Rattus norvegicus: one gene and its partner. The protein of the gene in region 1 interacts with the protein of each later gene in a biochemical or structural test. Links are inferred from orthologs where the notes say so. Each region holds a gene or a part of one and is shown in the gene's direction. Other genes may lie near its edges.

The links.
Region 2: the proteins of Pias3 (region 1) and Mitf form a complex in vitro, tested with the Homo sapiens proteins (2 studies listed by BioGRID). The link is inferred for Rattus norvegicus from reciprocal best matches to the Homo sapiens genes PIAS3 and MITF.

What each region holds. Positions count from the first base shown.
Region 1 is NC_086020.1:186,920,686-186,924,927, forward strand, and holds the start of Pias3 (E3 SUMO-protein ligase PIAS3), read left to right. Parts: upstream 1-1,442; 5' UTR 1,443-1,497; coding exon 1,498-1,521; exon of another isoform or gene 1,522-2,088; intron 2,089-2,487; exon of another isoform or gene 2,488-2,576; intron 2,577-2,966; exon of another isoform or gene 2,967-3,102; intron 3,103-3,567; coding exon 3,568-3,985; intron 3,986-4,138; coding exon 4,139-4,223; intron 4,224-4,242. UniProt on the Homo sapiens protein: Functions as an E3-type small ubiquitin-like modifier (SUMO) ligase, stabilizing the interaction between UBE2I and the substrate, and as a SUMO-tethering factor.
Region 2 is NC_086022.1:131,964,511-131,968,545, forward strand, and holds the start of Mitf (microphthalmia-associated transcription factor), read left to right. Parts: upstream 1-1,229; 5' UTR 1,230-1,361; coding exon 1,362-1,465; intron 1,466-4,035. UniProt on the Homo sapiens protein: Transcription factor that acts as a master regulator of melanocyte survival and differentiation as well as melanosome biogenesis.

The sequences.
Region 1 (4,242 bases):
CCATATTGAGCTTTCGAACAGTTTTAAGCCCTCAGCACCTAGCAATCCCTGATTAGCACTTTAATATTTACCTCCCCCCTTTTCAAATGTTTACAAATGACAAATGGCATTATCCCTGAGGCCCCAAACAACTATAAAATGTGGAGGTTTTACTATAACAGTATAAGGCACAGTGCCTTAAAGTAGCTATCTCTATAGATATTGAAATGAATTACTGAAATTGGCAGTTTAAGTGGCCAACTTGGTTTAGACAGGGCCCTCTGGAGGAGCCAAAACTTTGGAGAAAGGAGGGGGCATTTCAAAGAGGAGCAGAAGTGTTTCTTCTGTACGTGTACCTCCTTGTGTTCACCAACTGTGGAATCCCTAGTTACTGTAAGCATATCTGGAGGTTGGGGGATAGAGGGCTATCTATAGGGATTAGGTTGCTAATTTTCCATTTGTAGCCCAAGTTTTCCCACAGACAGATGGAAATCTCATCCTAGAGCCTCTCTATACAACCAGACTCCCAATGCACACAGTCTTGCCTCGTGGTCCAGCCCAGTACAGCCCCTACAACTCCGGCAAGTGATCAAAGGACTGCTGAGACTTTGAAAGTCCAGAACCTCTTCTCTCCTAAGTGCTCACCAGAGTTAACATCTCCCGCCCCGCTCCTGGGCTCCGCCCCTCTCCCCTCTCCGAGGTCCTGGCGGGCTTACCCTGGAGGGGGCGGCCCCAGCAGCAACGCTCGGACGGGCGGAGCTCTGGCCCGGGCGGTGCTGCGGCTGCAGCGTCCAGCTGTCGGACCGAACTCCAGCCGTGCAGACTGCGGGAGCGGCGCGAGCCCTTCCTACATCGGGGCCCACCCCCACAACTCTGCGGGTAAGTCCTGCTTTCCGCACCCAACTTTGTTGCCTGTCAAGCCTCGAGTCCTGTGGCGCTAGCAGGAGCTACGCTTGTAGTTGCTGTGTATTCGGGGGGAGGTGAAGGATTGGGAACAGCCGCCTCCAACAGTTTGCAAGTTCCCAACTTCCCCCAAAATGACCAGAGTGCATTGCTCCCAGAGTTGACAGAACTCTGGGGTTTCGCTAACTAAACTTGCCGAGATCTCCGGAGGACAGGGGCTCCAACTTCGCCGCCCCTCCCCCATCTCTCGGAGCTCCGGCAGTTCCGGATACTTTCCCTCCATCTTTCAAGTATCCTTGGCTCCCTAAAAGCCCTTCCCTTCGGGCCCGCCTCCTCGTCGTTACCCGCAGGGCCCCACGATCCCCGGGCTGCACACTCCCTGCGGGGCCACCGTGTCCCCCGCCGCCCGGAGACTTGCCCCGGCCGCCCGGCTGCAGGAGAAGGGGCGAGGCCGGCGGCGGTCCGAAGCCCGGCGGGCGGGGCCGGGAAGGGGAGGTGTAGGGGGCCGGACGGGGCGGAGCAGGCGGCCTTTGCGGCCGGCGCTGGGGCGGAGAGTTTGCGCCGGTCCCTGGGCCTGAGCTCCGGCTCGGGCTGGGGCGCCTGCGATGTCTCAAGATGGCGGAGCTGGGCGAATTAAAGGTACCGGCCCCCTCCCCCAGCCCCAGCAGGACTCGCTCGGCTGCCCGCCGAGGCGGGGAGGCGACCAGGCTGGGCGCAGCGGGCGACGTGGCAGGGACTGGATGCAGGGATGCGCGGGCAGCAGCCGCGAGAAGGGGCTGCGGCGGCGCCCCGGGGGCGGGGCCGCAGGGCAGATGCAGGGGTGGGGCGGAGGGGGAATTGTAGCCTGGAGGGCCGAGGCACAGGGGGCGGGGACGCGGGCCGTAGCCGCTTTTAGTGGTAGGTAGTTGCTGGGTACAGTCAGGCGGGGAAAAGCTGCTCTAGAGGCGTAGGGGTGAGTCCATCAGGCCCAGAGATATGGCAGTGAGGGGGAGACGTAGGGATGGGACCCGAGGACCAAATGTTGGCTAGCTCTGGAGGACGTGAAGCTTAGGGTGGAGGCTCTGGGGCTGCTGTCGGCATCTGAGCCTTGGGAAGTACTGGTAGGCTGCTGAGACGTAAGGAGGCGGGGCTGTACAGGAGCGTACCTTAAGAGCTGAGGCTGGAGCATCCTGGAGGCTGAGGGTAAGGAACTGTCTTAATGAGGTGCTGTCGTTGGGAGAGGTAGAGAAGTGTGAACCATTGGACAGAAAAATAAGTTATAGAGCCAATAGAGAAATACAAACACGTAGGAGGAGCTAAGGATGGAAAGGTAGAGGGACAGTGTTTTCATCACATTCCTGAAAAGGAGCTCAAGAGGGAGAGAACTTGGGAGACTAATGGTCTGCCGGTGACTAGGTCTTCTAGACATTCACAGAAGGGAGCCCTGGAAGGAGAGAGGTCCCCTACACCTCCCCAGCCCAAACACAGTCTTCAGGGAACTACACCTGAAGCTATCCCACAGAACCTTAGGTCATTCTCCCCCCCCCCCCCTTCTGGCTTAGCACCATCCTTGTCCTGGACAAGCTTGAGTTCTAGCCACTGGACCATCCACCTTTAAGCACTTACTTCTGTGCTCATGGACCCCGTTCCCAGTCTCTTGGGGTCTCTGTTGAGAAGTTTGCCTTGGTTTTCACCCTGGTGGCTATGTATACCATCTATGAGGGAAAGAAGCAAGATAGTAGTTCCAGACTGTTTGGTTTCAGACCCCAAGACAGGGGACTGAGGTGCACATTTTACATATCAAAGTGGACAGGGCCTCCAAGTTTTCTCAGCATCCCTCAGTCCCTACCTGGCATACCATGCTTCCAACCCTGAACTTTCCAGCTCAGAGGCTGGGCTGCCCTACCCCCAAGGCTCTTTCCTATATAATCCAGACATTTTGTGTTTTCTCCCCCTACACCCCCCCCCCCCACCCGTGGCGACTCCCTTGGGGAAGCTTCCCAATAAACCTGCCTTTAATCTAATCTACTCTGGTTTGAATTGGCTCATTTCACTGACAGAGAAGTAACCTATCACTGACAAATGGAGTAAATCTGGCCACTTACCTAGACTTTTGAATTTACCTTTCTCCCCTACAAATTTTGGTAGCTTCCTTTTAGTAAACAGGAATAAAGGAGTGTGAGTGTGTAAATAATGTAAAAGGTGGGGATGATGGTGGTGGTGGTGGTGGTGGTGGTGATGGTGATGACGACGACAATGACGACGATGGAGTGTTGAACTCTGACGATAAACGTTACAGTTCAGAACTATGGGGAGAACAGGGATGGACTGAGGTGACTGGGAGGGTGGCAGTGGATTGCAATCCTCTTGCCAGCTGGCCTCTTTCTCATGGGGCTGTCTGCCCTGAATCCTCCTTCCTTGTGTCCTATCTTTTTCCCTGGAGCCTAGGGCTCTGAGAGTCTGAGCCTAAGAGACAATAATCTGCTTAAGGGAATGTCTGTATTAGGGCTAGGGATGGGGCTCGGTGGTCCTCGTGTGTTGAGCTGGTCAGTCAGGTCAGCTACTCAGGTCAGTACACTAGCTTTAGGACGCCTTTCAGCACTGGGGATGGAGGGGAGAGGCACTGCCCCCCTGTAGCTCAGCTGTCATGTCACCAGCAGACAGCCATTTTTTGAAGCCAGATCATTTCTGTGCTCTTCTCCGCAGCACATGGTGATGAGTTTCCGGGTGTCTGAGCTCCAGGTGCTCCTTGGCTTCGCTGGCAGGAACAAGAGTGGGCGGAAGCACGAATTGCTGGCCAAGGCCCTGCACCTCCTCAAGTCTAGCTGCGCCCCCAGCGTCCAGATGAAGATCAAAGAACTTTACCGCAGGCGCTTTCCCCGGAAGACCCTGGGGCCTTCCGATCTCTCTTTGCTCTCTTTGCCCCCTGGCACCTCTCCTGTAGGCTCCCCCAGCCCCCTTGCTTCCATTCCTCCCACCCTCCTGACCCCTGGCACCTTGCTGGGCCCTAAGCGTGAGGTGGACATGCACCCTCCTCTGCCCCAGCCTGTGCACCCTGACGTCACCATGAAACCACTGCCCTTCTACGAAGTCTACGGAGAGCTCATCCGGCCCACCACCCTTGGTATGGCTGACTGGTCTCTCAGGCTTTCTGGATTCTGGTTCAGGCTGGAATTTTTCCTATTAGGTTTTACTCTTGAAGGATCAGCAGTGTGGGATGGAAGCAAGTAGCTTCTCAGGCAGGGGCTTGGGAATGACGGTGCCTTTGTGTCCACAGCGTCCACCTCCAGTCAGAGGTTTGAGGAAGCCCACTTTACCTTTGCACTCACTCCCCAGCAGCTGCAGCAGATTCTCACATCCAGGTACACCCATCCCCGCCTT
Region 2 (4,035 bases), on another chromosome or scaffold:
GTTAGAAGTTGGCTTTCAGGAGTTAACAGTTCCCTACTTTCGTCACGAGTGTCCTGAGGATCAATTGCAGGTTGTGTTTGCAAATAAACACATTTTACTGGCTGAACCATTTTGCCTGCCCCCAGTGCATATAAATTGCAAGTAATTTTTTTTCTTACTTTTGACCTTGCAACACCATCTCAAACAGGTTTCCTAATCTCTTCTTTCATAGATGAGGAAATTAAGGTTTCTAGGAATGAAACAGACATGTCTAAGATTGCACAGGATTTCCTAGAACAACTGGGGATTTCTACCATCTTAAAATGCCACCCTTAACACCGATATCTCAAAGCATTCGTTGTTGTTTATACACGATGAAGAGTCCTGCTGGAACTAACCAGAAGACAGGTCTGGACATACAAATGAACCAAAGTGCAGCCATTTAATAATCACCTAACCGAGTGCCTCGAAGCTGCACCGGCATGCAATGTTAGGACAATCTCATTTGAACTCCCAGCCAACTGAGAAATTGAAAGCAGACGGTGGTGAGCTGTTTGGTTACTTGGTGCCTTTTAAAATTAACTGAATCTTTCAAGTGCTGCTTTAGATTAGAGGTGACTAATTGGATAAAAGGAAAGAAGCCTTTCAACGGATGAAGAGTATTCTGGGAGCCCAGAAGGAGTTCCAGAAAAGGAAGGCACAAGAACAACTCCTCCAATAACGCTTTCATTATAAAAGTGAAGTTTCCAACACTCTGTTCCAATTGAGGACAAAATGATGTGTCGCTGCAGCCCAGAAGAGCTCGGGGGCGAATAGAAAGCACTTTTATTTTTAAAATGGGCTTTAACTCTGACCGAAACTTTCTAGCGTCAAAACCCCTTAGTGTTTTATTTTTTTGAATGAACGCTCCGAGTGTCTTCGCAGATGTCTAAACCAGGAGGGACAGTAGAAGCCCAGACTGAGTCCGTTCTTATTAATATTAAACAGCCAGGTCTGTATCCTTGAGGCAAACGGGAGAGACACGGAGAGGAGCTGCTGACATTGACAAGGAATCCAAACAGGACTTGCACTATCGGTGTACACCACGTTGCCTCTCCCCGGTTTGGCCTTCTGGGAATTGTAGTTTTGCGGAAGCTGATATCCTGGAGAGCTGGTATGCTGGGCCTGGGCAGAACCACAAATCCCAGAGCGCACCGGGCCCGGCCCCTCCCGCCCTGGTGTGAGAGTAAACTCACCGCGCCGGGGCGGGCAGCGGGCTAGCGGGCTGAGTGGGGCACTGAGCGGGGCGCGCGTCTTGGGGTACCCGAGGCCCTCCCCATCTTTGTCAGGTGCCCGGGTTCTGGTCCAAGTCCCAAGCAGTGGAAGGCGGGCAAGCAGGAGTCATGCAGTCTGAATCGGGAATCGTGGCGGATTTCGAAGTCGGGGAGGAGTTTCACGAAGAACCCAAAACCTATTACGAACTCAAAAGTCAACCTCTGAAGAGCAGGTGAGTGGTGACAGCTGGAGGGAGGCGCGGCAGGAGGCCCAAGGGCCCGGCGCCTGCTACCCTGGGAGGAGAACAGCCAGTCTGGATAGCTCTGGGACAAGGACCCCGTGCCCTTGCTTGGGGTACAGGGCGACCTAGCCCCTGGCATTTAGGGTCCTGCTCACAGATGACTTGCTCGCATCCCAGGTTATCTGACAGTGGCACTCTTGGGACACCGTGAGTCTCTTGGGATGGGTCATCCAGGCTTGGGGACCCTTGACTGCAGATGCCAGCTGCTGAGCTGGATGGGGGCTGGGGCGGTACCCGGCGCGAGGTGGGGTAGGAGGAGCACCGGACAGGGACGGTGATCTGGTGCTACCAGGAGTAATTTTTCTGAAGATCCTAAGCAGGCTGATGGGCTCCGAGAGGGAGAGCCTGGGGTGGATGGAGATCTGATGCTTCAGGGTAGCAATGAACTGGCCTTCCCTTGTAGTCTAGCCCCCCTGGGACATACTACTTAGAGAGACCTCTAAGTGAAGTTCACCTGGCTTTTACCTTCCACCTCCCACAGAACAGCACCCGCGCCCTGGGCGGGAGGTAGTGTGTGTGGGGTGGATGGGGGGTGGGGGGGGAGGTTGCGGGTGGGCGTGTCTCCCCATTCTTCCTTGCAAATGCTAAAGGAAGGGAGGGAGCAATTAAGCTATCTTAGAGGCCTGTGGTGGTTGGGAATGATCTCCTTGGCAGCTACACACATTTAATTCTCCAGGTGCTTCAAGAACTTTGGGCTTGGAGTGAAGATGCTCTCTAGTCTGGTGCCTCCTAACAGTCAGTACCTCTGCAGAATTGTTATCCCTCACACCACCCTTCATTGCTACTTGTCTGGCAGAATTGGTTATAACTCTCCTTGGTCACTCTGGACCCTTGAAGCCCTTTTTATTTGTAATGTTTATGGAGGGAGGGGGTAGTCACTGGAATCTGTGACTTTGTTTCTACCCTTTCGGTTGTGAGATGAAGTAAGGCTAACCCAGGAAGCATCATCACCTCGACTGTCTAGGGTCTGGATGAGTGAGGTCTCCACTTCCTACCTGGCAAAGGGGCGGAGGGCCTCCCTTTCAGGAGCCAGGGAGGCAGAAGTGAGGGGCAGAATCCTTGCTTTGGGAGAGAAGGAAGCTGAGTCTTAACTGCTGGAGAGTGGAGCCAGGTTCCTTTCCTTCGGGGCTGGGGCAGGACCTTGAATCCAGTAATGGGAACAAACTCTGGGAAGAGTTTGCTCTTGCTCGAGCAGGCTTTTTGTACATGCTTGTGGCAGAGTGGAAGGAAATGTGTTAGGCATCAAGATGCATAAACTCAGCCTTTCACTAGTGGCTTCTTTTCATAAAGGCTATTTGTATGTGACCGTAGATGGGGTGTATTGGGTGCTCTGAGTGACACTGTGTAAGGCGTATTGTTGGTTATGCTCACTAGAGCTTTATCTGCATGTGGCTGAAGGGACCAGTGTTTTACTGAGCAGTCCCTGCTTTTGCTTCTATAAGCAAATGCTTACAAGGCCAGAATGAGGGGGAGTGTGTGTGTGTGTGTGTGTGTGTGTGTGTGTGTGTGTGTGTGTTGCTGAAAGAAATGAATTAACTGTGCTGTTCGAATCATTTGGATGGTGGCTGTTACATTAAATGAGTTTTAGGGAGTGAGGAAAGTACCTTTGGGGAAAACCAACGAGTGCCCTGACACTCACGTAGAAGGATTTGGTTCTATTCTTTCTCACAGTCAGCAAGAATGGCACACAAGAGCACGTGTCCTCTGGAGCTAGCTAGCTAGCACAGAAGGAAAAATGTGGGGATGTGGGCATAAACAGCTTCACACGTTAGTACGAGCAGCAGGTGCCAGGTATGCTCTTTGAAATCGACCCATTAAATAAAATCTGTGAATAATTTTCTGGAGAGGGTGACATATTGTTTTTGACCGTTGTCCTAATGATATTACCATTGACATTTGTTGTGTGACTTTAAATGCAGTTCAGGGCCTTCTCATTGCTTGCAATTGAAGTCTACTGGGGAACCCTTAAAGTCCTGGTTGGAAAAAGGTTGTAATGAAAACTTGCAGATTCTCAAAACAAGGACATCCCACTGTATTGTCTCCATCAGCAATTCTCAACCTGCGGGTCGTGACCCCTGTGGGGGCTGTTGTATGACCCTTTCACAGGGGTCGAATATCAGCTATCCTGCATAATCAGATATTTACATTTATGACTCAAGGCAGTAGCAAAATTACAGTTATGAAGTAGCAACAAAAGTAATTTTATGGTTGGGGGTCACCAGAACATGAGGAACTGTATTAAAGGGTTGCAACATTAGGAAGGTCGAGAACCACTGGTATAGATTGTTTCAGGATTCACCCATTTCTTGCCTATTTCTCTGCTCTGACTTTGACCAAGTCAGTGTCAGTTTTTGCCTGAGTTATTGCAGCAATCTCTTAGCTCTCTCAACGTTGGCCCGTTTTAGTACCTTTTAAATTTAGCGCCCAGCGTTCTTATTAAACTGATTTTTTTCTTTTTTAAGGCTGAGACCTGACTCAGTAACTTGTGTGCTTGCCACACG